Linked DNA regions of Mus musculus. The protein of the gene in region 2 binds, or shares a complex with, the protein of the main gene of each other region. Links are inferred from orthologs where the notes say so. Each region holds a gene or a part of one and is shown on either strand. Other genes may lie near its edges. The genes, in order: Fbxl13, Gas8, Tcte1, Iqcd, Efcab2, Iqcg and Drc1.

Region 1 (4,475 bases), on a different chromosome or scaffold from region 2:
GAAGGTTCTGTGCACTCCCCTTTCTTACAGCATTTCCTGGAGGAAATGGAAGGCTGGAATATAAATCCATGGTTGTTCCTGGTCCCTTCTAGTAAGTGCAAATTTTGAAAAGTAAATGCTAGTTGTACAACCCAAAGATGTGTTTTCTACCTGCCTTTAAAGGTGCCTTATTTTTGTTCTAGGGAAGGGCAATTAGCTCCCACCAACCTCAGTTTAAAAACAAATATATTTCTCTACCTTTGAGGCAAGCAGGTATTGGTTGGCAGGTTTTATTTCAAATAGTTTTTCCAACAGTTTTCACGACTTAAGCCATCCTTTTAGAAGGGTGTGTCTCCTGTTGGTTGTGGTTCTTATTCCCAACACACACACCCCGGTTGCAGGGACGCTACGGATGACTTAAAGGTACTTCCCAGGACAGGTGCCACAAAGTGCTGGCAGAATTGCATCTCAGGGATCCATTCTTCACATAGCACGAGCAAAGTTTCAACCCAGGCTTGAGGCCCCTGAGAACCTTCTCACAGTAAGGGGCATCTCTTTGATAACAACACAAAAGCTCAGGTAAAACTTTAAAATGAGAGGCAATCTACTTGGCTCGGAGAAACCTCAGCTCTTGGCTGTGAAGCCGAAGGGAAGTAACAGGACACTTCGGGCAATGTTTTCAGCTCTTATTTTAAACAAAGAAGTGGGAGCAGGGAAGCGGCTCAGGACCCACCCAAGGCAACCTGGGCTTCCAGAGTCGTCTGTCTACCTCCAGCCTTTCTCCCCATGCAGTCGCGGGTGTCTAGGGCACCTCCAACCCAGCCTGGCCTGAGGTGGGTCCGGAGCCCCGAACCAGTCCACCTGCCGGGCAGCCCATCGCCTCACCTGCGGATCGCGAAGGGCGCAGTCGGCGACCGCCTCGCCGCGGTCCCCGAGTCAGCCGGTAGATACAGTAGCAGGCGCCGGCGCCCAGGACCAGCCCTGCTGCCACCCAGCCCACGTCCCGCGCGCCACCCATGCTGCTGCCTCGGAGCTGCAGGGAGCCGAGGAGCCAGGGCCACACGCAGGTGCAGCTGGGCCAGAACCAGCCCAGAGAAAGGAAATGGGGTTGGAGCTCCGCCTTCCGGAAGCCGCCCTGCTAAAATCGGAAGCCCTCCCACCCTGTGTGCTGCGGTTCCTTTCACCAGGCAGGCGGGATGCCCCTAGTGCAAGCAGCTTTTTCCTGGACCAAGACCGGGACTGCGGCGCGTTGAACACAGACCCTAGCTCCGCCCCAACACTCACTCTCCCGTCCAGCCCTCTCATTTTACCCGGCCCCGGCCTGTACTGTCCTGCCCCGCCCCTCCCCGCTCTGCCCCGCCTCTCTGCACTCGCCCCGCCCCTCTCTGCCCCGCCCCTCTGCAATCGCCCCGCCCCGCCCCAGTTGCCCCGCCCCCTCCCTGCTAGGTTCTTTCTTCATCTCGCGAAAGGCTTGGACTATTTGGCACCTCCTTTGTGGTTGCTAGGCAACGCTCCGGCGCGTCTCTCCTCCTCAACGTGAACAGCAGTAACCTATGAAACGCATTCTGAGTCCTGCTTCTGACCATGGCTTCACTACGCAGTGCCACCCCCAGGCTAAGGAGCTACTTCAGGGACAAGTACATTCCTCAAATCTGTGAGGTACTGCAGCCACATAGCCTCTCACACAGTGGGCGCGGGGAAAAACTGGGAGAGGCAAGGAGATTCCCGGAACTGGAGCTAAGAAGGAGCAGGATGGGGAAGCTTGAAGTCAATTTAGGGTAACTAGAGAGAGAAGGGTAGGTTAGAGAAGACCGAAGGGTGCCGGTGGCTAAAACCAAGCCCAGGTGGGGATGACAAAGGAAGGGGACGGGGGAAAGTGACAATCTGCAGGGGGCGCAAAGAGCACAGGGCCTGGGTTGGAATCTCCAAGTGTCAACTACTAAATTCTATTATGGAAGAGCGTCTTGAGCAAGAAGTGAGTGGTGAGCCACTTGAAGACAAAAGACTTGAGGGGTTCTGGGTGTAGGCTTCGCCCCGCCTCGTTGTTAGCAGGAGGGAAGAAGAGTCACCTGCCTCTACACACAGCTTCACAACACACCTTTTTAGAGATCGCCACCAAGCAAAACCTGAGGTCTTGGTTTCAACAAAGAAATGAATTTCGGGGCCAACTTGTATGAAGCAAAGCTGGCTTCATTAAACGCAGGAACAAAGGTGCTCCAGTAGAGAGAGTAGAACACACCTGGTCAGACAATTGCGGGCTTCTGAAGGGAGAGTCGACCTTAAGTGTTGTCTTCACAATGCTGACATCAGTATTTTTTCTTGTGACTTTCAAGGTTACATTTCTAAATGTTGCCAAGAAACTACTACCCCTTTTCTTTTTCTTTCTTAATTTCTTTATTCACTTACTTCCCGATTGCAGCCCACCCCTCTCCTCCCCTCCCAGTCCCTTACAAGCCCCTCCCCCACTACCCCCTTCCCCCTATCAGAGGAGAAGGGAAAACCCTCCTTGGGTACCACCCCAGAGTCCCAGAAGGATAAACATTCCCCTTTTATTAACATCACCCAAAGAGTATAGTCTGTAACAAAGTTAGATTAAAAACCGAAGTTTCTTTTTCTCTCAGTAACTAACATATAGTGCATTTATGAACAGCTTCATTTAGTTCTGGGAGTGGGGAGGCCAGGAATTCAAGATAATGTGTCATTTTGACCTTATGTAAGCAGAGCCTAATTACTGGCCTCGACATCCTTGGTTGAAGTGTCTGGAGATACAGCACCCAGCCTCAAGTGAGCACAGTTGAAGTCCATTAGGTTCTTACCCGCAGACTTAAAGTCCTTTCTGAGCAGTGAAAGTAGATCAGTTCTGAAGGAGCAGGGTTTCCTCCTCTACCTCCGCCTCCAGTCCCCTCCAGTCCCCTCCAGTCCCCTCATTCTGCCCTGCCTCGGGAGGACAGTATGGTATTGAAAACCAGGTTTTGTACTCCTGGGGGCAGGGAGCTGAGAAATCACTGGTGACTCCCATTTATCTGTATGTTATGTTACGCGGTGTATGTTATGTGGTGATACAGCGGGAGTTCTGAAATGGGGCGAATGAGGGAGTTCTAAGGGAGAGAGAAGAGTGCCATTCAACCTCCAGGGCAATTGGGCACAACACTTCCTTTTAGGATGGCTTTTCCCCGTGATTTTATCCAGATGATCCCTTCAGTCACCTCTGCTCACACATTAACAGCAGGGGCAAGACAGGTTTTGGGCACACTCATTCACTTTCCCTCAGACCATTAAGGTGACTTCTATTCTGCCAGGTCTCTCTGTACTTTGTACTTGTTGCAGTTATCTATGCATGTTTGACCTCTTCTGAACATTGCCTGTGTGTTCTAAGTAAACCTAGTTGTCCATCCACAACACTGTTTCCCTACAAACCTGTGTACACTCTGATAAAGGAAAAACCCAAACCAAAGCCTACCCATGCCAGTGGTTTGTAATGGTTTGTAAACTCTTACTTGCCAGGGAGACTGAGGCTGAAGCTTGCTTGAGCCCAGGCATAGGGATGGTAAGACTCAAAAATAAAAAACACAACCAAAAAATAAGCAAAATAAAACCTCAACACCAAACCAAACCAAACCAAAACCACAACACTTGCCTGATCTACTAAGCTTATTGAATCTGCTGATTGATATTTAATTTTCATTGGTTTTGGAACCAATTACTTAAATCTATTGTTATTTTTACCCAATTCTTTTCTATTATAGGAATCCAATCATGAATATAATAAAATTCTACCCTTGTCCTCTGTTTTAGCTTTTGTCCAGCTACCTCTTTTTTGTCTTCTGGATGATATTTTGGATATTTTTCATTGACTTATTTAGTGGATTGCTAACTTTACTAATTCTGCTTTTTGTTACATCTCATCCCATCTGTTGAATACAATAAGTGAAATCTTAATTGTAGATAATGTATTTTTCAGTCTTGGAATGCCCATTGATTCCTTTTAATGCATTCCACTTATTAAAATTATAAAGATACTTTTTCATCTATTTTGCTATAATCTCCTGTTTTCAAACATGTTAATGATTGTTTTGTAAAAATCACTCTCTGGAAAGCTGGTCACACATGTCTATAATCCCAGTTCTTGGGGAGCTAGGACAAGAGGCTTGCTTTGAGGCCAGGCTGGGCCACATGTTGAGTTCAAGACACTTGGTAAGCCTGAATAAAACAAAAACAAGAAGAAACACAGGTTCCTTCAACATCTGGATAATTTTTGGGTCTGTTGTCTGTTGTTTCTTTTCTTCCAGTAATTACCTCTACACACTGAGTGATTTTTTTTTGTTGGCTATCAAGTAAAAGAGAACAGTAGACATTCTCCACAATGCATTCTTCAGCAGAGAAAGTCCTCCCTTTCCTCACTCTAGAGGGAAGAGCTGAGCTCGATCCAGGCGGATGAAGCTGGCTGCTGCTCTGCTGTGCTGCAGGAGTCCTCCCCTTTTCCTGTGAATCTCTCT
Region 2 (4,370 bases):
CCAGTCTTAACAAAAAAATAAAGTAAATGAAGAAAACCTCCTCCCAAGCTAAGCATGAGCAGTCAAACAGAGGCAGCCCCAATAGGGCTACCCCTTATTGGAAGTTTTGTCAAAAATAAAACAGCCAGGGGCCAGCACAATGGTTCAGCAGGTAAAGGGGTCTGCTGCCAAGCCGGAAAACCTGAGTTCAATCCCAACTCCTACACAGTGGAGGAAAGAACCAACCCACACATGTTGTCCAGATGTATAAATGAAAGACAGAACACTAATTTTAAAAACTGGGGGTGTGCCGGGCGGTGGTGACGCACGCCTTTAATCCCAGCACTGGGAGGCAGAGGCAGGCAGATTTCTGAGTTTGAGGCCAGCCTGGTCTACAGAGTGAGTTCCAGGACAGCCAGGGCTACACAGAAAAACCCTGCTCGGAAAAACCAAAAAACAAAAACAAAAAAACAAAAAACAAAAAAAACGTGAGTAATTAATCAGACGAAGACAATGTAGTTTTAAGTAAATTGTGTTCCTTTTAAAACTTTCCTTTTTTCTCCTTCTTTTTTTGGTTTTTTGAAACGGTGCCTTTCTATATAGCTTTGGCTGACTCAGAACTCACTATGTAGATTAGACTGGCCTTGAAATTACTGAGATTAATCTACCTGCCTCTGCCTCCCAAGGCAGGCGCCACCACACTTGGCTAAAATCTTCCCCTTTGATATAATGTTTACTGGCAAACAAAGAATGACATATCTGTCTTAACACTTACAAATCAGCTCTGTGACCACTGGGTATATGAAAAGATAAGGATGAAATAAAATGCACAAAGTTTAAAAATACCTATCATATTCGAGGGGTGGGGGGACGCCTTCCAGGTTCCTATTACAAAGTGTCCTCACATGGATACACTGCATTTAAAAGTATGTCATGCCAGGTGAAGTGAGGAAACTACGGGCACGGGATAGACACGTTACGTTTGGACAGACTGAGAGTAGACAGACACACAGATAAGAGTTTCGCCAGCACATCTGCAGCGGTGCCTACCCCACCCTTGAGCCAGGCTCCAAGGGCTGTGCTCACCTGCTCCTTGGTCATGTCCTCTGGTGCGACGCCATCAACAATCGCGGTCCCTTTGGCTTTCCCCTTCTTCCCTTTCTTTTTGGGTGCCTTTGTGTGAAGAAGAGAGGACTGAGTTAAGTACAGGACAACTCTATCTCAGGGTGTCCCTCCTTGATGGACTGACTGCTCACATGGTCAGCTCTACCTCAGGGTGTCCCTCTTTGACTGACTCGGTTCACACAGGCATAAGGGGAAGGAATGCCTGTTTAGAATCTTGACCTTGACTGTTCACACAGTGCTGACTGGAACATTTACCTAGGGGGTATCATTATACTGATCCCTCCCCCCCATTAATATACCAGAGGTGGGGAGGGAGAGAGATCTCATTTGGAGAAGCACTAAGGGGGAAGGGAAGGAGAAAGAAAACACTTCAAACCCATTCACTCCTGGATGTAGGACAAGAATTTCTTTGTTACGGTTAAAAACATTCTTTTGGAGAGATGGCTCAGAGGTTAAGAGCACTGACTGCTCTTCCAGAGGTCCTGAGTTCAATTCCCAGCAACCACATGGTGGCTCACAACCATCTGTAATGGGGTCTGATGCCCTCTTCTGGTGTGTTGGAGGACAGCAGCAGTGTACTCACATATATAAAACAAATCTTACATTAAAAAAAAAAAAAGAAAAACTTATGGGGGGGTGGAGAAGGGGTGTTTTGGGAAAGGCAGCATTTGAGGAGGTAGTGTGGAAACCTAAAAGATAAAAAGAAAAACTTATCTGGGCTTTAAAAAGGAGGGATACACACACACACACACCCGCCCCACCCCACAAGTATACTGGCAACCACGCTTCATAGCCACCACAGAGACACAGAAGACCCTCATCAGCAAGGACCGAGAATAAGCCTTTTGGAGAGACCTCACAGCAATGACCGAATCTGAGGCTTCCTGACTCGTGTCTGCCATTATGAACCCACTTCAGGGAACTCTGGTCTTGAGCACACCGCACACACTGTGTCTGTCTGCAGATGTTCCCAGCAGACACTGCTCACAGGGCCTGCTTTATTCTAGCAGCCTTGACAAGGCCATAAATGCTTGGCGGGAAGATTAAGCAGCAGTTAATATCGGCCATAGTTCCAGGCAGGCAGACGCAGGAAGATGCCACCCCACCAGCTAATGACCCATGCCCTAGCACATCTGCCAAGACACTGCACTACTGACAGCATCTATCTCCTGGGTGGGGCGGGGCATTATGTGAGAAAAATAAAGGAGACAGGGGGCTTCGGCCTTCTTCTTCTCAGGAGCCTGAGATACCCAAGGTGTGTATCCCTGGTCACTCCATGACACTCTGCCCTTGGTAGGGAGGCCTCCGGCCACATGGTACACGCTAGGTTTTCCACCTCCGAGTTCTCGGGGTTTCTCCTGTGCCGGATTCTGCGCCCTGTGGACACTTAATTGACCCCTGAGCCCTTAAGTACTGGTCCCAAGGATCTGACGGACTCAGCTTCTGATTTCTGGACGCCTTGCACACTGGACTCTCAGTCTAGCCAGTGTGATGATCATCCCAGAGAACCTGAATGCAGGCCCCGGCCTCCTGGCCTCCCCAACCGGGACCACACGGAAGAACTGCGCCCAGCTCTCCATTCTAGTAATCCAAAATTGCAGGCCCTCCCAGTCCCGGGGACCCGACCCTCTCCACATTTCTGCACGAAAGCCTCCCAGGTTCTCTGTGCACTGGACACTCCGAGCACAGGCCGACTCACCATGGTGCCAGCAGTCCAGCACTTCCACTAATCCGGGATGGGCGCTGGTCAGAGGAGGCTGCGCGGTCTCCTGGCAACTCCGACTAGATCCCGTGCTGGTTCTCAAATCCTCGCGAGACTATCCTCCAGTTCTCCCCTCCCACCCACCCCCGCCCTAAGGGACCTGGGCAACCGGGAGTGCGTCCCTAACAACGCGCCAGAAGAGCTAGTGTTGCCCTCGGTGTATTGCTGGTCTCTCTCCCACTACAACTTGGGCTACAGAAGAAACCTATTGTGGTTCCTCGGGTTCTCCAGAGTCTACATGGCGGGCGCTCACAAGGAGGAACGGATAAAGAGAAAAGTCTGAATGATTAATCTGCCTCCCAAGCCAAGTTCCCAAATTGGATGCAAATATTGAGCTAAGAGCCCGCTCCTGCGGCCCATCCACCTTGCCCTGCTTGTGAAAATTCCTTCCACATGCTGCTCTGATGAGACTGAACGTGTAAAGCTGGGCTTCCAGAAAGAAAAACGCTAAGGGTGTTATGCCTGCGACCACTGGGGAAGCTGAGAGGAAGACTGCATGCGTTGGAAGCTAGCCTGGGCTACATACCAAAAACCCTGTCTCAAAAAAAAAAAAAAAAAAAAAAAAAAAAAAAAGAAAAAAATGCTGGAGAGATGGCTCAGCGGGTAAGAGCACTGACTGCTCTTCTGAAGGTAGAACCACCCATAATGAGACCTGACGCCCTCTTCTGATGCGTCTGAAGTCAGCTACAGTGTATTTATTTATAATAATAAATAAGCGAGTTGATTGGAGTTGCTTGGAGCAGGGCTGCACCCTGCATAACAACCACATAAAGGCTCACAACCATCTGTACAGCTGCAGTGTATGCACATACATAAAAAGAAAGAGAAACAAAACAAAAGCAAAACAACAACAAAGTGGCTTAGCAGGACAGGGTAAAACAGAAACAGAAGGGACAGCAGGTTATGCTCCTCTGCCTGCTCTGAGGATGAAGATTCCACACCCATAAGTGGATGCAGCAGGAGAGAAAGATTGCTCAGTGGTGGGGATCTGAGGCTCCTAGCAATGAGACTCCCCTGTTTGCTAACCCAACCTCCCAGTGTCCCCTCTCCCAGATTCTTGAAGAATGGCCCGCTGGAAGAACAACACCGGATCCTTGTGAGCATTCTAACAGTGGCTTATTTGTAGTAAATCTTAACAAAAGTCCAACATAGCCGCCACGCTGTTTGCTGTCAGTGAACTTTAAGGCGAGCCCCACTCGCCTGGGAAACTCAAAAGCAGCACCTAGAAGCACCTGAGCACAGTTAGGTCAGCTGTCGAATGCTGTCAGCCGAGAGCTCAGATTGTCAGCCGGAACATACACAGGTGGACTCCGGGTAGCCTGTTTTTTACGGGAGCCTTCCAAGAAAGCTGGATTTCTTTCCTAAAGACCTAGCCTTGGGAGTTGCACTGTCTCACATCTCCCACACTCTACTAGCCAGTGCAGTCACAGGCTCCAACAGCACTGCAGCTAAAAGATCCTGATGGTACGGTTCTGGAAGAAATGGTTCCAGCAGTTTTGGCTTG
Region 3 (3,691 bases), on a different chromosome or scaffold from region 2:
TACATATGTGTGTGGGTGCTCGCGTATGTGTGTGTGTGTGCGCGAGAGCGTGTGCGCGTGTGTACGGCAGGAAACACTACTGATCCTGAGTGGGAGTAGATTAGAGAAGGCTTCCAGGCCTGGGTACGGTGGTCCCCTTCTCCTCTGGCCCACATCACATGGACGACTTACTCTGGAAGTTCTTGACGATATGTTGAATGCAGAGTTCTGTAAGGAGAGGTACGATGGCCAGTGACCACTCTGCATCCTCGGAGATGATCCTGCGCATGCGACGGACATTTGGGACCTTGGTCTTCAGCTGGCCTGGGGTAGGGGTGCTGCTGGTCTTCAAGGACGTGGGTCCTGTGCTGGAGCTGCCCAAGGCAGAGACCTGGCGCTGGATGGTGAGAACCGACTGGCTGTGAGACGAAGAGTTGGACGGTACTGATGGGGTTTCCTGCATGTTGCCGGCCAGCGGGGAGGCAGGGGTCGGAATCCTGGCAGCCTTGCAGTAGGAAGCTTCTTACAGCAGGCAGGATACAGGATGGGGGCGGGGTCGTAGCTTGAGCAAGAGGAAGGGGACAGCGTTACTTGGGGGGGGGGGATTTAGGTGGCACAGAGTGGTGCTGAAGGATCAGTCTCTGGGGGGAGAGTAGACCTAGATGACACTCTCAGAGACTGGCTGTGTGGCTTTGGGCAAGGCACATCTCTGCATCTCAGATGCTGCCTCTGAAGTGAGGGCAGTAGCTACCAACAGGATTATTAGAGGAGTTGATAAAACAACGTATTCAAAGGGACACAGGGTGTGTGCAAGGAGAGCCCCAAAGTTTAGACAATAGCTGTTCAGTAATTATAATCATTGCTACATACCAGGTATTCGTTTTGGATAGTAACTCATCTGTCATTAAGGGGGAAAAAAGCCTTTTGGAGACAAGAGTTCATTTTCATTTTTTTTTTGAAAGGAAATGAAGTACAGAGCGGTTGCTGGCTTGCTCGGTGATGCACAGCTGACACCGAATGAGAGGGAACTTATGTTTTAAAGATTGTGTGTTTGCATGCGTACATGAGTGTGCGTGTGCACATGCGCGTGTGCAAGTGTGCATGCGCACACACAGAGGCTAGAAGAGGGTAGTTGTGAGCAGCCTGATATGGGTGCTGGGAACTGAACTCAGTCCTTCAGCAAGAACAGAATATTAAGTGCTCAAAACCTCTGAGCCATCTCTCCAGCCATCCATAGCAGTGCATTTAAACTCAATTTCTCAAGTCAGATTCTGGACTGCCCCCTCTAAGGGTGAGTGTGGGGGTATCAAATGCCAAGGGAGAGTGCTATCATGAACAACTGTTCAACTCAGAAGCTCCCAGCTCCCAGGGCATCCTGACGGCACGACTGAGATCACTGGCCAACAGAGTGGGGTACAGGCTTACACACTATCTTAATTTCTCTCCTTATCAATTTTGAGACAAGTTCTCAGGTATCCCAGGCTGGCCTCCAAGTTGCTATGACCTTCAAGTGCTGAGTCTCCTGTTTGTATCTCCTGAGCACGGGAGTTACAATTTTGTTTCATCTCAGCCAGTGAATCCGGGGTTTCATGCTCCTGTCAGCTTTTCTGGCCTCCAAGGGTACTTCATGAGCACGGGGCATCGACAACAAGCAGGGCTACACAGAGAAACCCGACTTGTAAAAACAAAACAAAAATGAGAGGACTGGAGAGAATGGCTCAGCGGTTAAGAGCGCTTACTGTTCTCCCAGAGGTCCTGAGTTCAAATCCCAGCAACCACCTGGTGGCCCACAACCATCTGTAACGGGATCTGATGCCCTCTTCTGGTGTGTCTGACAGCTGCAGTGTACTCATATAAATAAAATAAATAAATCTTAAAAAACAAATAAGCAGGAGATGGGGGGGAGGGGAGGAACAAAATACTATTTTTACTGCCAAAAACAAAACCAACTAACCAACCAAAGAAACAAAAATGGGGGAAAATCATTTTATGTATAACTCTGGCTATCCTGTCATTCACTCCATAGACCAGGCTGGCCTCGAACTCAGAGATCCTCCTGGCTCTGCCTCCTGAGCTCTGGGATCAAAGGTGTGCACCACCAGTGCCAGGAAAATAAATATAAATAAATAAATAAGGGGGGAAAAAGAGGCTTAAGTAGAGTGGGAGTATGGCTCATTGGCAGGGCTCTTTGCCTAGCTCAGTTAAAAACAAAACAAAAGGAAATATCAAACAAAAAACCCTACAGGAAAACCAAAATGAACAGAACAACAAAATCCTGAAACAGGTTCGAGGCCAGCCTGGTCTACAGAGTGAGTTCCAGGACAGCCAGGACTACACAGAGAAACCCCGGCTCAAAAAACAAAACAAAACAAAACAAAAAACCAAAAACCCTAAAACAGATGAAATTAGTTGTATACTCAATCCAGTGTGCCCAAACATTATTGTTGAAATGTGTAATCTGCATACAGATTAAAATTAAAACAGAAAACAATAAAAACCAAAGGAGTTGACACAATTAATGCACTGTACTCAGGGTACTGTCGCTCAAATGTATGATCCGTATAGTTTATCTCTATATTTTGAGTTGTCATTTAAATATACATCTGTACATACTTACACCCTGCATACGAGGGTGTGAGCACCTGTGCCGGTCCTTGGAGCCAGATCCAGCCCCCTGGAGTTGGAGTGAAATGTGAGCCGACATGGGTCCTCTTCAAACCTCTGCGTAAAGGCTTTGAGTGGGAAGAATAGGTCCGTCCCTGTCAAACCTGCACCTGTGGCCTCCATTCAGGGCGTGCGCAGTTGGGAGGGACCAGACACAGCCTCCTGACCAGAGTGCGAATGCCTCTCCTCCCTTCAGTTCCCACCTGGCTCCCACTTCGAAGTCTCCCATCATACCAGAAGGTGGCGAGCAGGCGTGGGAGGTGAGAAGGCAGCTAAATATGGGGCTGAAGACTGAGGATGCTGTCTGGGTCTGGGGGAACCTCTTTGCCCTCCTGTTGCAGGCACCCTGCCAGTGACCTGAAGGCGGAACAGCGGTGCCTGGGCCCTCTGCCCGTGGCTGGGTAGCTTCCCTTTGTGCTATACTGTGGTGTGACCAGTGAGAAGGAGCGCCCGGCTCCAGCAACGACATCCTTGGCAGAGGGAGGAACCAGATGGTACTCTAGCCTGCCAGGCAGCTCAAGGAGGAAAAGCCTTGGGAGAGGGCTACTGTCGGCAAGATATTTATGTATTGTGTCACCACTGTATGCAAATCAAATGCAAATTCACAGACCCTGTCCATCTTTACATAATGCTTTTAATCCCGGCACTTGGAAGGCAGAGGCAGGTAGATCTCTGTGAGTTTGAGGCCAGTCTGGTCTATATGGTGAGTTCAGGAGGGTATCATTTAGATAGAGGCATCAGCTGGTTTTGTATTTCTGGCTTGCTGGTGATTTTAGGCAAATTGAATAACCTATCCGAACTTCAACTTCCTCCCTTCCCTTATCTGTAAAACGGGATAATAATGTCTTCCTATGTGGCATCTGTGGAGATTCCTGTCTAGAGAGCTGAGAGATGTCTTCAAGTGAATGCTAGGTTGGTTTCTAAGCCTTGTCCCTGTCTCTACAGGAGAGGTAAAGGGCAAGGGGTCATTGGCAACTTGAAGATCTGCTGCACCGTGGTTAGAGGTTACCTGCCCCACTAGCCTGGGTGTGGCTCTGCTCCCACCTCC
Region 4 (4,219 bases), on a different chromosome or scaffold from region 2:
ACACACATGCACACACACACATATACACTTTTTTTTTTTTTTTTGGTTTTTCAAGACAGGTTTCTCTGTGTAGCTCTGGCTGTCCTGGAACTCACTCTGTAGACCAGGCTGGCCTCGAACTCAGAAATCTGCCTGCCTCTGCCTTCCAAGTGCTGGGATTAAAGGCATGCGCCACCACTGCCAGGCATACATACACATATAATCACATGAATACACATATACATGCATATACACATGCACACACACACATGCATGCATAAGTGAACAAGCATGCATGCACACATACACACACATGCACATGCATCCACATGCACACAATACACAATACATGCACATCCTTATACACACATCCACATGCATATGCATACATACATATCGTGCACACACACATACACACATGAATACATATCCACAACACATACACATGCACACACGTACACACAGGAAGTAAATAAAACAGAACTTAAAATGCAGGCTAGAGAAATGGCTCTGTCAGTAAAATGCTTGAATCTGAAGCTCCTTCATACTCATGTAAGAGCCAGGTGTGACACACAGAATAAGAAAATAAACCCTTCATCTTTAAAAAATATTAGTTACCAGAGTATAAGATATCAACATAATTAATAGAGGAAGCACAGACTTCGTATTTGCCTGGTGTTTGGTGCAGTGTGAACCCGCGTTATTCTTTCAATAATTAAGCCTGCACTGAGAGTAGAAGAGGAGATGCATTTCTTTGTCCATTAAAAGGAAAAAGTTTCCTGCATTTGAGAGCATTCAGGTTAAAATATTTTCATTGGCTACAGGATCTAGCCCGTTGCTATAATAAAAGCTGAAGTTCAGAGATACTTTACCCTGATGTTCTGTTTCAAGTGTTCTTGATTTTTAATCACTTTTAATTCCAAGAACTCTCACTAGGACCTCAAAGAAAAAGTGTGTGTGCGTGCGCGTGCATGCATGCGTGCATGCATGATGTTCATGAGTGCAGGTGTCTTTTGGGCCAGTAGAGGGCGCTGGATCACCTGAAGTCGAGTTACAGGCAGTTGTGACTCATGAATGCTAGGAACTGAGGGCCCTCTACAAAAACAGTGTAATGTCTAAATGTCTAAGCTATCATTCCAGCCCTCCCATTTCAGACAGGATTTCATGCAACTCAGACTGCCGTCACTAACCATACTGTTATGGTTTATATATGCCCGGCCCAGGGAGTGGCACTTTTAGAACGCCCTGTTGGAGTAGGTGTGGCCTTGCTGGAGTGGGTGTGGCCCTGTTGGAGTGGGTGTGGCCTTGTTGTAGGTGCGTCACTGTGGGTGTGGGCTTTAAGACCTTCATCCTAAACTGGGCGTGGTGGCGCACACCTTTGATCCTAGCACTCTGGAGGCAGAGGCTGGCGGATTTCTGAGTTCGAGGCCAGCCTGGCCTATAAAGCGAGTTCCAGGACAGCCAGGGTTATACAGAGAAACCCTGTCTCGAAAAACAAGAACAAACAAACAAAAGACCTTCATCCTAGCTGCCTGGAAGTCAGTCTTCCGCTAGCAGCCTTCAGATGAAGATGTAGAATTCTCAGTTCGTCCTGCACCATGCCTGCCTGGATGCTGCCATGCTCCCACCTTGATGATAATGGACTGAACCTCTGAACCTGTGAGCCAGCCCCAAATAAATGTTGTCCTTACAAGAGTTGCCTTGGTCAAGGTGTAAAGCGAGCAGTCAAAACCTAACTAAGACACACACTAAGCACTCAATAAGCCCATGTTAAATATGTGAATTATTCGTTGTATGAGCCAAGAGAATGTCCTAGGAAATGCTTAGACAGAGGGAGTTAGGGTAGAATAAGTCGTGGCGGGGATCACTGCAATTAGCCTGGCAGTCACAGCACACACACGTTGTGAACATACCTTGTGCACTCACATACACGTAGGCACCCACAGATACATATAAAGTAAAAATAAATAAAGCTTTACGTTATTTTAAAAGAGCGTGTACGGCTTTTTGAAAGGACTAGAGTTTAGTCCCCTGCACCTATGACAGGTGGCTCACAACTGCCCACCCGTAATTAATTTTAGCTCCAGAGGATCCAAAACCCTTTGTCTGTATTCACATTCACATACCCCACCAACGCAGACATAGTGATAATAATATTAATAATGATAATAAAACTTTAACAATTAAAGGGGAAAAAACCTAATTAGACCAAGGGTGGTGGCACATGCTTTTAATCCCAGTACTCAAAGGCAAAGACTGGTGGATCTCTGTGAGTCTGAGGCTAGCCTGGTCTACAGAGTGAGTTCGAGACTACATAGTGAGACCTTGTTCCAAAATCAAAACAAACAACAAATCCTTATTTTAAGCATACACTGAAGGGGGTCACGCACCCAGCAAGCTGACCTCTGAACATAGTGCGGACAGTGGGCACCAAAACAAACCAACCCATCCAATTACTTGAACTAAGTTCACTCGATGTGAACTTCACAAATGGTATCAGTAAGAGATGAGGAGAGGGACTATGAAATGGCAGGTGGACCAGACAGGAAGCAAGACTATCAGAAGAGGATACTTGATGGTGCTTGCAGGAGGCCTAGAGGAGGACAGGATGGAGGTTGGGCAAGGGAGTGAGGACCTGGAGCTGGACGGGATGGCAAGTGGGGCGCGGACGCCTGGAGGGGAGAAATCACTGGACGGCGTGCCTACTAGGTGCACACAGCCTGCAGCCTGGGGCTTCCCCGCTGTCACTCACCAGCTCCTCAAGATGCAAGTTTCTTGGCCCACAGTTAAGCAACTCGGCGGCCCTTATGTTGCTAGGTTACGAGCCACTCTTAGAAGGCGGGACTTTGAGTTTGACTGACATTCTTTTTCACCATTTAACTTCGAATCGGGTTGCGTTGGCTCCGCCTCCTGAAAGATGGCCAATCAAAATCCCCGCCTCTCTGACGTTTCGCCAATGGAAAGACGCAGGATTCCTGTTGGTTGCGCGAGTGAGGCGGGGGTGGGGGTGGGGTGGGGAGGAAAGGGGTGTTGCTTCCTCGCCCCGCCCTCCCTTTGGGAGGAGGGCTGTGAGAACGCTGAGTGACGTGTAGTCTACCCTGTCAAATTTCATTGCGACCCCTCTGATGGCCAGTAGGCTGTGGCCTAGGGCCGTGGGCGGGGCTTTCGGGGCTGAGTGACAGGAGTCGGCGGATGCGAAGGCTGGCGCAGCTGCCGCTGTGGCAGCGGTGAGGCGGCGGTGGCGGCTGCTGAGGCTCCGCGCTGGGGATATTGGCGGCGGCAACTGCGGGCTGAGCTACGCTGTGCAGACCCAGTGCACAGTGCGGGATCCCGGGACGGCGCGTGTAAGGATCCGAGGGGTGCGCGATCTTGGCCCGAGGGCAAGGGTCAGGGGTCAGAAGGTGCAGAGAAGGGGCTGGGGCTGAGTGCTCCAGAAGCCCGAGGCGGGGCCCTGGGAGGTGGCCGGCATGCTCTCTCCTTGCGGATCCCCTTCTCTCTGCACCCCTTTTCTTTGGCCTGACTTCCTGGGGCGACCCGGATCGCGATGGGGATCGTGGGGAGCTAGAGCCCCCGAGCGACCCTTCCTCCCTGCTCACCTCCCTGCTGTGTCCTCTTGTGACCTGGCCGGGGACTCCTGCCTGGGTCAGTCTGCCTCAGGGGACAGATCGCAGGATGGCAGCTAGCTATCTGATTCCGGGACCTTCTTCCAGGGGTGACCTTACCCCAGGGGTGACTCGCTGGGTCTCCGCTAGAGAGAGAACCAAGGTCTGCCAAAGGGCTGGACCTTAGGAGCTCCGAGTCTGCTGTGTGACCTTGGACAGTTTACTTACCCTCTCTGGGCCCCGTTTCTTTCTCTTTGAAAAGTCATAGGCTCTTCAGGAGGCAAAGGCAGGAGAATGGCAACTTCAAAGCTTCAAAGCTCCATAGGGATATCCCTACCACCAAAGACAAAAAACAAGAAAGCGGTTGGTGGATTTCGCCTAAGTGGAGTGCAGTTTCTAGGAATAGTTGGTGGGGCTGCGCTGAAGTGGGCAGTGTCCCCTGCGTTCCATGACTACTTGTGGCTCTTTACTTGGGAGAGGCCACGCTAAGCTGCCTCATGTATCAAGTGGGCGCTAACCAACTGAGGGCAGAGCCGTTGAGTCGGAGCCAGGAGGTTGTTTCCTGTGGGTGGGGTCTACAGCTGTGTACTGTAGATGTTCAGTAGCCTCTCTGGACTCCCTCGCAATCAATCCCAAGT
Region 5 (3,189 bases), on a different chromosome or scaffold from region 2:
GATATTCTGAATAGGTGAGAATTCTAAAGAGCAAAAAAAGAAGTTGCCATTATCAGCTTTCATTCAGTCTTCCTTTCTCTGGATCCAATTATCTCACCTCCTTTAGCTATTCCATAAATGGCAAAATGCTGGATGAGCAATTTTCAATTTTACTCAAAGTTATTAGACTCTCAAATGAGATTTGTAATTGGCATTCATAAGAAATCAATTATTAATAGTTATTCTGGTCGCTCTCCCTCCATATTCTGCTTGCTGAAGTGTTTACTGCTGCTCTGAAAGGCAGCCATCACCAAGCTGCCACTCACATCTAGTCTGTGGCCATCCTGCCCTGCAAGAGCTTTCTATGGCAAATGTTAGGGGGTTAGGATCAATCTCACTTTCTAATTAGTTTCAATGTATCATTGGCCTAGTTGTGGAAAATAAGCAACGATACATTTAACATTAAAATACTGTACAATTCCTTTGAAATAATTAACTTGTCCTTCCATAAATCTGGTCATACTAAATAAATTTATGTTTTAAACTGATCATCTCTAGTAAACAAAATACCTTGAAACAATTATGTCATAAGGCACTAAATGTAGAAATTATACAATAAAATGTGAAATTAATTAGGACAAATTTTCAAATTATCATTTCAACTAGAAATTGAATGTTTACAGTTGTCTTAAAAGGAGAAAAAAGAAGTCTTTGCAGCATTTAATTTTCATCTACCACCATCATTGTTATGTAGTCCCTATAATTAATGGTGTTTGATTCGGGATCAATTGCAGCAGACAACATTTCTTCCATTTCCTCTTGGGAAAAAGGCTCACCTGGAGAGACAAGAAAGGATAGCATGATTTTACAGTCAGAGGTTTTGCTCTCCCCACTAGTCCTCTATACTGCCTTGCAACTATGTCCAGTTTTTTCTTCACTGGAGCTGTACAGCAACACTTGAGAACCCAGGAGTTCAAAATGCATGCTGCCACACATCTGCAAGGCTGTAGACTTGTTGCCCTGCTGAGACCTACAGAATACATCTCTTTAGTCAAGGCAGCAGGAGAACACCATGAATATAGTTGTTTAATTCACTTAAACTAAAATGATTGAAATTGCAAAAGTATTTGCTGGAAGCTAAAGTTGTATAAGTGAGCATAACTATTATCTTTATTAAAACTATGGGGAAATAATTAAAAGTTAGCTATTGCTGAAGAGAGACCAGACACTTGACTACTCTATCAGGACTGCCTCACTCTCGTTGTCTTAACCCTGCCATGGACAAAACTCGTCAAGCATCCTGAAAGTCCTCCTTCTTTCAATCTGGGCTTGTGTTGATGCAATGAAATCAGAAGTTGGGGAGAAAATCTGGGCTTTAGTTGGACTCAGGTAACATCTGAAAGATACCTTGGAAACTGGCTTCACAAGGTAGGACCCAAACTTCAGGAGAACATTGAAAAGGCTACAGACTGTTTAAGACACAACTATGCTCAGTGTTGAGGGAAAAGACAGGGCATCCTGGCCATCACCAGATGTCTGGGGAAAGTCTTGTGCTCACTAGACACAGCACCAAGGCTTGAGGAGAGTTGCTTTCCTTATGAGCCTAGGTTACTTCCCACTGTCTCCAGGACTTCCTATGTTAGGATTCAGCTACCAATTACAGAACTTATGCAGATAGGGACTCTGTGTGGCTTTTGTCTTTAAATTTTGTTTTTTTCTTCTTGTTGTGTTCTGAGACAGAGTTCTGGCATGTCCAAGAGTCAAACTTCAAACTCATGCTCTGAAATGCTGAAGTGGCAAACTCTGGCTGTTATCTGACTGGCTGTGGGGCCGTGAAAGGCGCCTGTTTTGGTTGAGAAAGGCTTGCTCTGGAGACCCAGTAGAAAACTCTACAAGGGACAGAACAGTGAGCCACATTCCCAGAGACGCTTGCCTGCATGGGAACCACCCAATGCCCCGTCTCTCCCTGCCCTTTCCTCTCTTCAGCCCTGGGGGTGACTGAGCTACCCCAGGGACCTCCACTTTGTTCTCTGCTCTTCCACAGTGTCCAGCGGTGTCTGGGATGCCCGAGACTGAGAACCTGTTATCTCTGGCCTCTGTGAAGCCCAGAGACCTCGGTCTGCCCCTTGTCCACTCCCCACGGGCTGGGGTCTGTGGCTTCCCACAACCAGACACCCAGTCCTCTGAGTCTGCCCACCCAGAGCACTGGAACTAGCTCTCTCCCGCTCCCTTTATTCCCCCACCCCTGCTGCCCTACAAATGACAGACACTAAATCCACTGCTACATGTACCTGGATGTAAGTGTCAAAGGGATGCTGACAATGGGTGCCACTTCAGTCCCAACACCCAGGGTGAAGAAGATAGTGAGCTTAAGGCTAGACTTAGCTTAGGGTGAGCAGGTTGCTTAACCTTTCTATCAGTCTACACAGTACAGACAATAGTAACACTCTCCACCCATGGGCTTGGTTTAAGGATTAAATGTGTTATTCAAATACCACTTCCACAAACATCTGACACATCCCAACATGTATTTGTTTTTAAAAGACTTGAGATCTTCCCTGCTACTAAATACGTTCTGATGCAATATACATCCTGGACTAACATGGATTCTGTCTTGTAGGCACTTGATTCAGTATGTTTTATGGTGTTTACCTTACAATCTCCTGGGCATTTAAAATGAGCATTCTCAAACTTAAAGATGTGTTAACTGCTCTGCAGATACTATGAAAGGATTGTAGAAGTAACTTTATAGTCCCAAAACTTGTATGTACTTAAAAAAGTTTTTAGAATTTTGAGAATAAAAACGTCACTTCTTAGCCAGGCAGGCCTGGTGGCACACACCTTTAATCCCAACATTCAGAAGGCAGAGGCAAGTGGATCTCTGAGTTCGAGGCCAGCCTGGTCTACAAAATGACTTCCAAGACAAAGAGTGATACACAGAGAAACCCTGTCTCAAAACAAAACAAAACAAAACAAAACAAATCACTTCTTAAGCAATCAACCATTTTCCTGAATTAAGCAACGGTAAGCACAATTAGAAGAAGACCATGCTATATACAATAATGATGATACATTAAGATATGATGGTGCATCTTACATGCACCTAACAAATGTACTGGCACATACAACATGGAAAAAATTAAATAATGTTGAATAAATAACTGAAACTATTTATGATCTCGGGGGAAAAAAAAAAAACCCCGATGCAGG
Region 6 (4,384 bases), on a different chromosome or scaffold from region 2:
AGCTGACATGGGCTGAATAAAACAGAGAAAGCAAGCTGAGTGCCAGTGTTCATCTCTCTCTCTGCTTCCTGACTGTGGCTGGCTTGTGGCTGGTCCCTTCTGCTCTTGCTGCCACACCTACACCTCCAAGTGTGAGCCAAGACAACACCTTTCATGTCTGCCCCAAACTGCTTCCTGTGTGACATTTTGTCCCACAGACAGGGAAAGCTTAACTGGCCCAGATCCCACACCAGAGTCACTTGCTAAACGCCCTCAAGCGCCCACCCCACAGCAGCGCTGAAATGGGAAGGTGTTTATACTTTAGGGCGTTACATTAGTTGGTTACATTGTTACCGAAAAGTAATCCACCGAATTCAACAAATGGCGTAATTGCAACAGTACAGGGACAAACAAACCGGAACTTGAAACATACTCGTCCATTCTTCCTCAGTTTCTTTCCTTGCCCTCTGGGCTAGATTTATAATTTCACAAGAATGAAGGAACCTAAAGTAGAAAAGAAACATTGATATCAGTTCCAGGGAATGCTAATTTTTTTCCCTTTACTCTCAGGCTCTTTTTGTAGGAGAGAAAACAAAACAAAACAAACAAACAAACAAAAACCCCACAGAATCCCAAGAGCTATCTATAGCTTGTCTCCTCCTGCTTAGGGAAGCAGGCTCATAAGATGCAGGCTTGTTTTTGTTGTTGTTGTTTTCCAGACAGGGTAGATGTAGGCTTACTAAGTGGCTGGCTCCATTACTGGTTCATCAAACCAGAAGTTATACTCAAGGTAGTCTTTTGCCTCTTTTTACGGTAAATTGACATCTAACACAATTTTAATGTGTGTACTTGTACTCTGAGTTTGACTGTGAATCAACAGAGAACTTTTTTTTTTTTTTTTCTTTCAAGACAGGGTTTCTCTGTATAGCCCTGGCTGTCCTGGAACTCACTTTGTAGACCAGGCTGGCCTTGAACTCAGAAACCTGCCTGCCTCTGCCTCCCAAGTGCTGCGATTAAAGGCATGTGCCACCAACGCCCAGCTTCAGATTTATTTTTGATTCTTTAATTTCTTCTATTATTCTCACTTATATATTAAATTAAATATTTCTGCCCTGCTCTATCAGAGAACAGAATTTACTGTAACTTGACTTAGAGAAATCGAGTTTGGGCTGACAAGATGGCTAAGCGGTTAAAAGCAATCAGTGCTCTTCCAGAGGGTCCTGAGTTCAAATTCCAGCAATCATATGGTAGCTCACAACCATTTGTAATGAGATCTGACACCCTCTTCTGGTGTGTCAGAAGAGGCCATCCTTGGCTCAATACAGGGAGTTTGGGGCCAGCCTAAGCTACATGAGACTTTGTCCTTCTTGTTAATGGCTTTAAAAAAAAATGTGTATGTGCCTGCTTGTCTCTATGTGCACTGTGTGCATACAGCAGATTTCCTAGCGCTGAAGTTATAGGTAATTGTGAGTCCCTGATGTAGATGCTGGGAACTGAACTGAAGACCTCTTTAAAAACAGTGTATGCCCTTAAACATTGAGACATTTCTCTAGTCCCTGTCTCAAAACAAAACAACAACAATAACAATAACAAGTTGCATGTAAAATCTAGCTCTAGAGTCTGAGGCCATCTTCCGACCTCTGAAAGCACACACATAAACAGGTTTTTAAAAAGGAAGTCTTGCTGGGCGGTGGTGGCTCACGCATTTAATCCCAGCACTCGGGAGGGAGAGGCAGGCGGATTTCTGAATTTGAGGCCAGCCTGGTCTACAGAGTGAGTTCCAGGACAGCCAGGGTTATACAGAGAAACCCTGTCTTGAAAAACCAAAAAAAAAAAAAAAAAAAAAAAAAAAAAAAAAAAAAAAAAAGGAAAAGAAAGGAAGTCTTGACCTTTTAACATACCACATGTCTAATCTGCTTGTTGTCTTGTTTTTTTTTTTTTTTTTTTTTTGCGAGGAGTGAGGGAGCAAGGATGAGATTTCTTACTCTGTAGCTCAGGATATCTGTGTACACATAATGTACCTCTTACTGACCTAAAACAGAGCAATCTTCATACTTCAACCTTCTAAGTGCAAGGATTACAGACACCAGAGCCAACATGCCATCCTTGCTCCCTCATGTAGGCTGCAAGAGGGCAGACGTTTTAGTCTGTTTACTCTGGTGCCCTACAAGCCTACAGCATTCTTGGTAGTGGTAGTCATTCAATAAATTACTCTCTGATTAAATGAATGGATCCATCAGTTCGCCTTAATTAATGCACAAGTTAGGAACTGTAAATCTGAGTCTATTAAATTTATCTGTGGGCTGGTGAGATGGCTCAGTGGGTAAGAGCACCTGACTGCTCTTCCGAAGGTTCAGAGTTCAAATCCCAGCAACCACATGGAGCCATAACGAGATCTAGCTCCCTCTTCTGGAGTGTCTGAAGACAGATATAGTGTACTTACATATAATAAATAAATGAATTTTAAAAAATTTATCTGCATCCGACAAGTCAGGGAAAGGATGGAAGGATATCTTCTATCTCTCACTTCCTCACATCGTCTCCCTTTTTTTCAGATGGGGTCTCATGTAGCTCAGGCTGACTGGCACTCCCTATGTAGCAGAGGATGGTCTTTTAAGTCCTATTCACCTGCTCGCACAGCTAGAATACTGGGGTTACAAGCAAGCACCGGGACCGCGGTTTGCCTCATGGATGTTTGTTGCTGTTAAGATGGGGCCTTGCTATGTAACTTAGCCTAGCCTCGAATTTGTGATGTGATCCTCCTACCTCAGTCTCCGGAATAAATGCTGAGGTTAACGGGCAACGGCTACCACACCCTGTTTGTTAAATTAAAGATGGGAAAAAATAAAAGAACAAATCAAGAGAAACTCCTGCCTTCATGCTCCAGGTTTTTCTCTCCTATATGGTAGGATCCCAGTCTCCATTCTAGGAAGAGGAGAAAACACTTAACTTTTCCTTACCTCTCTACCAGCCCAGCTGGAGGCGGGAACCAAACTAATCGGTAGCTATGGCAACGCGTCGCGCAAGCTCTTTTTTTTTTTTAAGTAGGACCCCTGATTCTTTCTTAGTCGACTACGATTTTGCCTTTCCTTGTTCCTAAATAATACGTGTTGCCGCTTACAAAGACGAAAGGGCAGGAGGGAAAGAATTTAAAGTTCTTGAGCGCGGCTTGGCTGAGTCGAGCCTCTCTCTCTGTCTCTGACCTTTGCTTTCTGGCGCAGTGTGAGCGGCCTAAGCGCGGAGAGGGGCGGGGCGTGCGTCCCACAAGGCCGCGCGGCGGGGCTTGCCTTCCTCTTTCCGCCATCTTGGCGCCTGTGGAGGTGAGGGGGGTTCCTGCTGCTGAGCTTTGGGGCCCGATTGCTGGGGTGCGTTTAGTTTCATCCCTCACCGAGACAACCTGGCGTCTCGGAGAACCCGACCGCCAGAGGTTTCTGGGGATTCCAGGAGGATGGAGGGCGGGATGGAGGCGATGACGGGCTGATGGTGTGGAGGCCCCGGCCGGGGGAGGAGAGCTCGCTGGTCTCGGTCGATCTCCGGCTCGGGAGGAGAGAATGGGTGCATTTCCCCCGGTCTTACTGGCCCGGGGAGCGGTGGTCCCTGGGAGCTGGGTTCCCCGCACAGAGCCGGATCTCGCCTGTGTTAGCTGCTTTCTGTACTGATGGAGGCATGAGCTCGCCTCCGGGTTCCTTTTGGGGTTTGAGAAGTTAAGTCTCGGGTGAGTCGCCTTCCCACCCGGCCTTTGCCCACGATTCCGAGTCGTTCGTTGTCATTGGTTGTCGGAGCCCTGAGTATTTTGCCAGGCTCTGCCTCTATAGGGGGCAGGGCGTAGGTAAGAGGTCCCCATCCTTGGGACGCCGACTGAAGCCATCTCTCGCGCCGGGAAATAGTGACAGGTGGGATGCGTGCTGCATGACTCTCGGTTGAGCTCTCGGTTTTGTTTTTCAGGCCTGCTGGGAACAGGACTTCTAACAGCAAGTATGTCTGGAAGGTACGCGATCTCACAATAGTCGTTTTCTCCATTTCTGTTTCGTTCTATTAAACGCGAAGCTAAAGTTCAGTGTAATGCGGGAGGGGAACGAGAGGTCTGCTGTAGATAGCTGGAGTAGGAATTGCTACAAAGCAAATCATGGTGGCTTGCTAAAAGATACATGAAAAGTTGTAACGGGGTAGTCATCATGTCTTTCTTAACGTTGTCTTAGGCTGTGGTGCAAGGCCATTTTTGCTGGCTACAAGCGAGGTCTCCGGAACCAAAGAGAGCACACGGCTCTTCTTAAAATTGAAGGCGTTTATGCCCGAGATGAAACGGAGTTCTACTTAGGCAAGAGATGTGCTTATGTGTATAAGGCAAAAAAGTAAGTATGCTCCCATGCCTTTTAATTTTTGGTTGACTAATCTCGTTTTTTCT
Region 7 (4,227 bases), on a different chromosome or scaffold from region 2:
AAGCCATAAAACCCCTTCATCATCAAGGAATGTCTAGCATGTCTGAGTCCCTAAGTTCAGTCTCCAATGCTACAAAAATAAAACTGTCGAGTGGTTTGCATTAGGGATAGTGTCTTGAAATGTAGCCCTGCTTGGCCTAGAACTTTACAGTCTTCCTATCTCAGCCTCCCAGAGGGCTGATTGTGAACCACTATGTCTGCATGTCTGTGTGTATTATTATTATAAGGGTGGGTATTATTATTATTATTATTTTGGTATAGGGCTTTACATTTCTTATTTTAATTTAGTTTAGAAATGGAGTCTCATTGTGTTCCAGGATGACCTGGAACACAATCCTGAGTTCTGGGATTACAGGAGTGGTGTTTTTGTTTTGTTTTGTGTGTCCTGTCCAAGGTGCTCCAACGAACCAACTGGTGTAGGTAAACCCTTTACCATTGAGCCGTACCACAAGCCCACAGGCATAGTTTTAATTCTTAAAGAGAACATTAAAAAACAACAACAAAAAAAAAACCACTTTTTACACCTATGATTTTGTGTGCCCATATGCCACTGTGGCATGTGAAGGTCAAAGGACAATTTATCAGTACTGGTACTTTTTCCATAGTGTGGGCCTAAAGGATTGAACTCAGTTGGTCACTCTCCTTGGCCATAAACATTGACTGCTGAGCCTTCTCTCTGGCCCCAGGACATTATTTTGTTGACAAGGGGACACACGGTGCCTAAGGCATGATGTCCCCCCCCCCGCCCCCGCAGACTGCTGCTTTGAGAGAGCGGTGGTGTCCTGGGTTCTTCCCCGCCCCCCCCCCCCCAACCATTCTCCTGAACCCACCTCTTTTTCGGTCATGGCTACAGATGATGAGTGTACTTGAGTTCACACTTCCAAAACTGCAATGGGCTGAGGTGGTCTCCCACTCAGCTTAAGGAAAGGACGCCACTGTCTCTAGCTATATAATACAATGCTTTTCATGTTGCAGGTACTCAGTTATTTTGGAGCAAAGTGCCTTTTAGGAATATTCATTTGGTAAGGTGGATGATGAATTGGGCTTTTGAGTCAGAAAGAGATGCGGTGCGGTTTGTTCCATCTGCCTTCGTGGGGTCAAGTCAGCCCCTCCAAACCAACTTCAGGCAAGGGGAATCAAGTCCACATTTGGGATACAAATATACAACTCGTAGTGCCTGACAGAGAAGCTGGGCTGGAGCGCCGCGCGACAGCTAGCCAGAGATGGGTCAGGTGACTGCTTTCCCTTGGCAACGGCTTGTTCCTAGCAACCCGGCTGCTGGTCCAGGCGGAGCTGCCAGTGGGTGGGAGACGCCGCCATGAATCCCTCAGGAACCATTGGGGTCCTAGAGCAGAATGGGGAAGAACACTTAGCCACCCCGATTCTCGGACCCTCGGTGCATTCGGATAACCCGCAGGAGCGGATCCAGGCCCGGCGCCTGCGCATCGCTGCTCGTCAGGAAGCCCGAAGGCGGTGAGCTGGGTGGCCGGGTGGTGCGATGGGGAGCCCAGAGTGCCCTGCAGGGAGCTGGGGCCGGGCTGGGTGGGAGCTCCATGGTAAGGTGTGTGTGTGTGTGTGTGTGTGTGTGTGTGTGTGTGTGTGCGCGCGCGCGCCCTGGGTGTAAACAGAAAAACTTTTCTTCTAGAACATTCAAGCAGTGAGTTTTGGGACAGCTAGGGCTACATAATGAGACCCTGTCCCAATATTTGAAAATAAAAATAAAAAAGTTCTAGGTCAGATTTATTCCAGAGGCTAGAGTTTGTTGACGAGATGTAATGGACCGCGATCTGTGAAAGAGTCGGTTATCCCCATTCTACTGAGAATACCTTATCACAGCCAGTGAGCATATGTGATTGTGTGTTCCACACAGATATGAGCATCTTGATCCATTTTAAAATTAAAAAATAAAATAAAATAAAGCCAGGTTAGTGGCTTATGCCTTTAATCTCAGTACTGGAGTGGCAGAGGCAGGCAAATCTCTTTGAGATCAAGGCTAGCCTAGTCTACGTAGGAAGGCCTTGACACCTCAAAATAAAAATAAAATAAGAGTAAAAGCTTTCATTTCACTTAGTGGCCACACTCCCTGGGCCCAAGGCCATGTCGACGGATCTACTGTAGCAAAGGCGGGGTGGCTGCTTGCTTGTGCTTGCGGACATTGATGATCATTGTCTAGAATCCATCCAGGTACTGCAAGTGCCAGACCTGTGAATTAAGAGGGGATGTGATAGGAGCCACCACACTTGCATTCCCACCATGTTCCCTAGGCTTTGGTGTCTTTATTAGCTTAGGTAAAGTTTAAGGGACATCCACTAGTCACCAGACTTCATGTGACAGTTGTTCAACTTCTAAGTCGTTCATTCCACTTTTACTTTTGGTGGTCTACAGACCCAGCAGAAGTACAAGATGGAGGTCTGTGTGCCTCCATCCTAGTTGGGCAAGGCTGTGATCATGGTTAGCATCTCTTGTTGTCATGGTAACTCAGATCTGTTTTTAATTGTCCTAACACTGTCTGGGTATCCCCTTCCCTGACAGTTCCCTGATGACCTTCAATCCCCTTGGGGAAAGGCTAGGAGCCTCACTACATTATGTATTTGCATTGTGTTCTCTGTTCTTCCTCCTGGGATCCCTGCCACCTCTTTGGTTAGGAGGTTCTGGGATGAGAACTGGGGTTGGTTCAGGAACTGGGCAAGGCAGAAGCATCCTTAGTAAGCTTGTCTGTTGCTGCTGTTTGGCTAACAGATGAACTGGACTCTTATCTGCTCTTCTACTTGTCTCCAAGTGATGCCACATTTATCCATCTCCAAAGCTGTCCGAGGATCATGGTCTTGGTTGTTGCTGTGGTGTTTAACAAGGAGACTGGGGGGCTGGAGAGATGGCTCAGTGGTTAAGAACTCTGACTGCTCTTCTGAAGGCCCTGAGTTCAAATCACAGCAACCACATGGTGGCTCACAACCATCCGTAATGAGATCTGATGTGCTCTTTTGGTGTGTCTGAAGACAGCTATAGTGTGCTTACATATAATAATAAATAAACCTTAAAAACAAAACAAAAACAAAAACAAAAAAGCAGGCCAGGTGGTGGTGGCGCACGCCTTTAATCCTAGCACTTGGAAGCAGAGGCAGGCAGATTTCTGAGTTCGAGGCCAGCCTGGTGTACAGAGTGGGTTCCAGGACAGCCAGGGCTATACAGAGAAACCCTGTCTCGAAAAACCAAAACAAACAAACAAAAACAAAAAAGCAAAGCAAACAAACAAACAAGCAAAAAAAAAAAAACCCAAAGAGACTGGGAATTCAGTGATGTGCAGGAAGTTTATATTCTAATGAGAGAGAGAGGACAAGTGTCCCTATAACTATGATCTATGACAAGGACAGCAAGGGGAGAGGAGACTCCTGGGAGTAGGCCCTAAAGCCAGGCAGCTAGAAAGGATAGCTTGGAGCTTGAGAAAAAGCTAGCTTTGTAAGGAGGCACTGCTGGGTTACTTTAAGACATTGTCAGGCGTGGTGGCACACACCTTTATTCCCAGCACTTGGGAGGTAGAGGCAGGAGGATCTCTGAGTTCAAGGCCAGCTTAGTCTACAAAGAGAGTTCCAGGATGTCCAGGGCTACAAAGAGAAATTCTGTCTTGTAGGGGTTGGGGTGGGGAGATATTTGTTGGGTGTGATAATAGCATGTGATAATGTCTAAACAAAATTAAGGCCACTTTCCTGATGGGCAGAGCGTCACTTTCACCTTCAAATTATTCAGCTCACTGTTTTGGGGACTGGTGTAAAGGGGCTGGAGGTGTGACTGAGGAGACCCGAGCAGGAAGGAGACACTACTCTGGTTCTGGTGAGGCACGGGATTGGCCTGGACTCTGTGTCAATAATCTAGAGAGAAGCAGATGGACGCAGGACAAATTTTGAAGTTGAATGTGATGGATGCTTCTGATTGGCTGTTTGAACAGAAGACAGTGTGACCTCTATATGTGTGCCATGGTTTGAGTACACACACACACATACACACACACACACACACACACACACACACACACACAAGACAAATGAATAGATAAATATTATTTTTTAAAAAAGATAGGTGTGATGGCATATTCCTATCACCCTAGCTCTTGGGAGGCAGAGGAAGGCAGGCATCTCTGATTTTGAGGCCAGCTGGCCAAAATAGGGAGTTCCAGGCCAGCCAGGGCAGCATAATGAAACCCTGTCTCAAAAACAAGTCAAGACAAAACATG

What was found.
Region 1: Gas8 (region 2) and Fbxl13 share a complex: the UniProt entries of both Homo sapiens proteins name them as parts of the nexin-dynein regulatory complex. The link is inferred for Mus musculus from reciprocal best matches to the Homo sapiens genes DRC4 and FBXL13.
Region 3: Gas8 (region 2) and Tcte1 share a complex: the UniProt entries of both Homo sapiens proteins name them as parts of the nexin-dynein regulatory complex. The link is inferred for Mus musculus from reciprocal best matches to the Homo sapiens genes DRC4 and DRC5.
Region 4: Gas8 (region 2) and Iqcd share a complex: the UniProt entries of both Homo sapiens proteins name them as parts of the nexin-dynein regulatory complex. The link is inferred for Mus musculus from reciprocal best matches to the Homo sapiens genes DRC4 and DRC10.
Region 5: Gas8 (region 2) and Efcab2 share a complex: the UniProt entries of both Homo sapiens proteins name them as parts of the nexin-dynein regulatory complex. The link is inferred for Mus musculus from reciprocal best matches to the Homo sapiens genes DRC4 and DRC8.
Region 6: Gas8 (region 2) and Iqcg share a complex: the UniProt entries of both Homo sapiens proteins name them as parts of the nexin-dynein regulatory complex. The link is inferred for Mus musculus from reciprocal best matches to the Homo sapiens genes DRC4 and DRC9.
Region 7: Gas8 (region 2) and Drc1 share a complex: the UniProt entries of both Homo sapiens proteins name them as parts of the nexin-dynein regulatory complex. The link is inferred for Mus musculus from reciprocal best matches to the Homo sapiens genes DRC4 and DRC1.

The regions. Positions count from the first base shown.
Region 1 is NC_000071.6:21,642,625-21,647,099, reverse strand, and holds the start of Fbxl13 (dynein regulatory complex subunit 6), read left to right. Parts: upstream 1-1,494; 5' UTR 1,495-1,563; coding exon 1,564-1,638; intron 1,639-4,475. Other genes in the region: Armc10 (armadillo repeat-containing protein 10), read right to left, coding at 865-997. UniProt on the Homo sapiens protein: Substrate-recognition component of the SCF (SKP1-CUL1-F-box protein)-type E3 ubiquitin ligase complex.
Region 2 is NC_000074.6:123,517,386-123,521,755, reverse strand, and holds the start of Gas8 (dynein regulatory complex subunit 4), read right to left. Parts: upstream 2,922-4,370; 5' UTR 2,807-2,921; coding exon 2,804-2,806; intron 1,153-2,803; coding exon 1,066-1,152; intron 1-1,065. UniProt on the Homo sapiens protein: Component of the nexin-dynein regulatory complex (N-DRC), a key regulator of ciliary/flagellar motility which maintains the alignment and integrity of the distal axoneme and regulates microtubule sliding in motile axonemes.
Region 3 is NC_000083.6:45,529,851-45,533,541, reverse strand, and holds part of Tcte1 (dynein regulatory complex subunit 5), read right to left. Parts: intron 542-3,691; 5' UTR 443-541; coding exon 172-442; intron 1-171. UniProt on the Homo sapiens protein: Component of the nexin-dynein regulatory complex (N-DRC) a key regulator of ciliary/flagellar motility which maintains the alignment and integrity of the distal axoneme and regulates microtubule sliding in motile axonemes.
Region 4 is NC_000071.6:120,587,607-120,591,825, reverse strand, and holds the start of Iqcd (dynein regulatory complex protein 10), read right to left. Parts: upstream 2,804-4,219; 5' UTR 2,732-2,803; intron 1-2,731. UniProt on the Homo sapiens protein: Component of the nexin-dynein regulatory complex (N-DRC), a key regulator of ciliary/flagellar motility which maintains the alignment and integrity of the distal axoneme and regulates microtubule sliding in motile axonemes.
Region 5 is NC_000067.6:178,478,939-178,482,127, reverse strand, and holds part of Efcab2 (dynein regulatory complex protein 8), read right to left. Parts: intron 816-3,189; coding exon 700-815; 3' UTR 1-699. UniProt on the Homo sapiens protein: Component of the nexin-dynein regulatory complex (N-DRC), a key regulator of ciliary/flagellar motility which maintains the alignment and integrity of the distal axoneme and regulates microtubule sliding in motile axonemes.
Region 6 is NC_000082.6:33,053,212-33,057,595, forward strand, and holds the start of Iqcg (dynein regulatory complex protein 9), read right to left. Parts: upstream 2,976-4,384; 5' UTR 2,940-2,975; intron 2,832-2,939; exon of another isoform or gene 2,746-2,831; intron 484-2,745; 5' UTR 421-483; coding exon 413-420; exon of another isoform or gene 334-412; intron 1-333. Other genes in the region: Rpl35a (60S ribosomal protein L35a), read left to right, coding at 3,957-3,967, 4,179-4,331. UniProt on the Homo sapiens protein: Component of the nexin-dynein regulatory complex (N-DRC), a key regulator of ciliary/flagellar motility which maintains the alignment and integrity of the distal axoneme and regulates microtubule sliding in motile axonemes.
Region 7 is NC_000071.6:30,280,135-30,284,361, forward strand, and holds the start of Drc1 (dynein regulatory complex protein 1), read left to right. Parts: upstream 1-1,258; 5' UTR 1,259-1,317; coding exon 1,318-1,472; intron 1,473-4,227. UniProt on the Homo sapiens protein: Component of the nexin-dynein regulatory complex (N-DRC) a key regulator of ciliary/flagellar motility which maintains the alignment and integrity of the distal axoneme and regulates microtubule sliding in motile axonemes.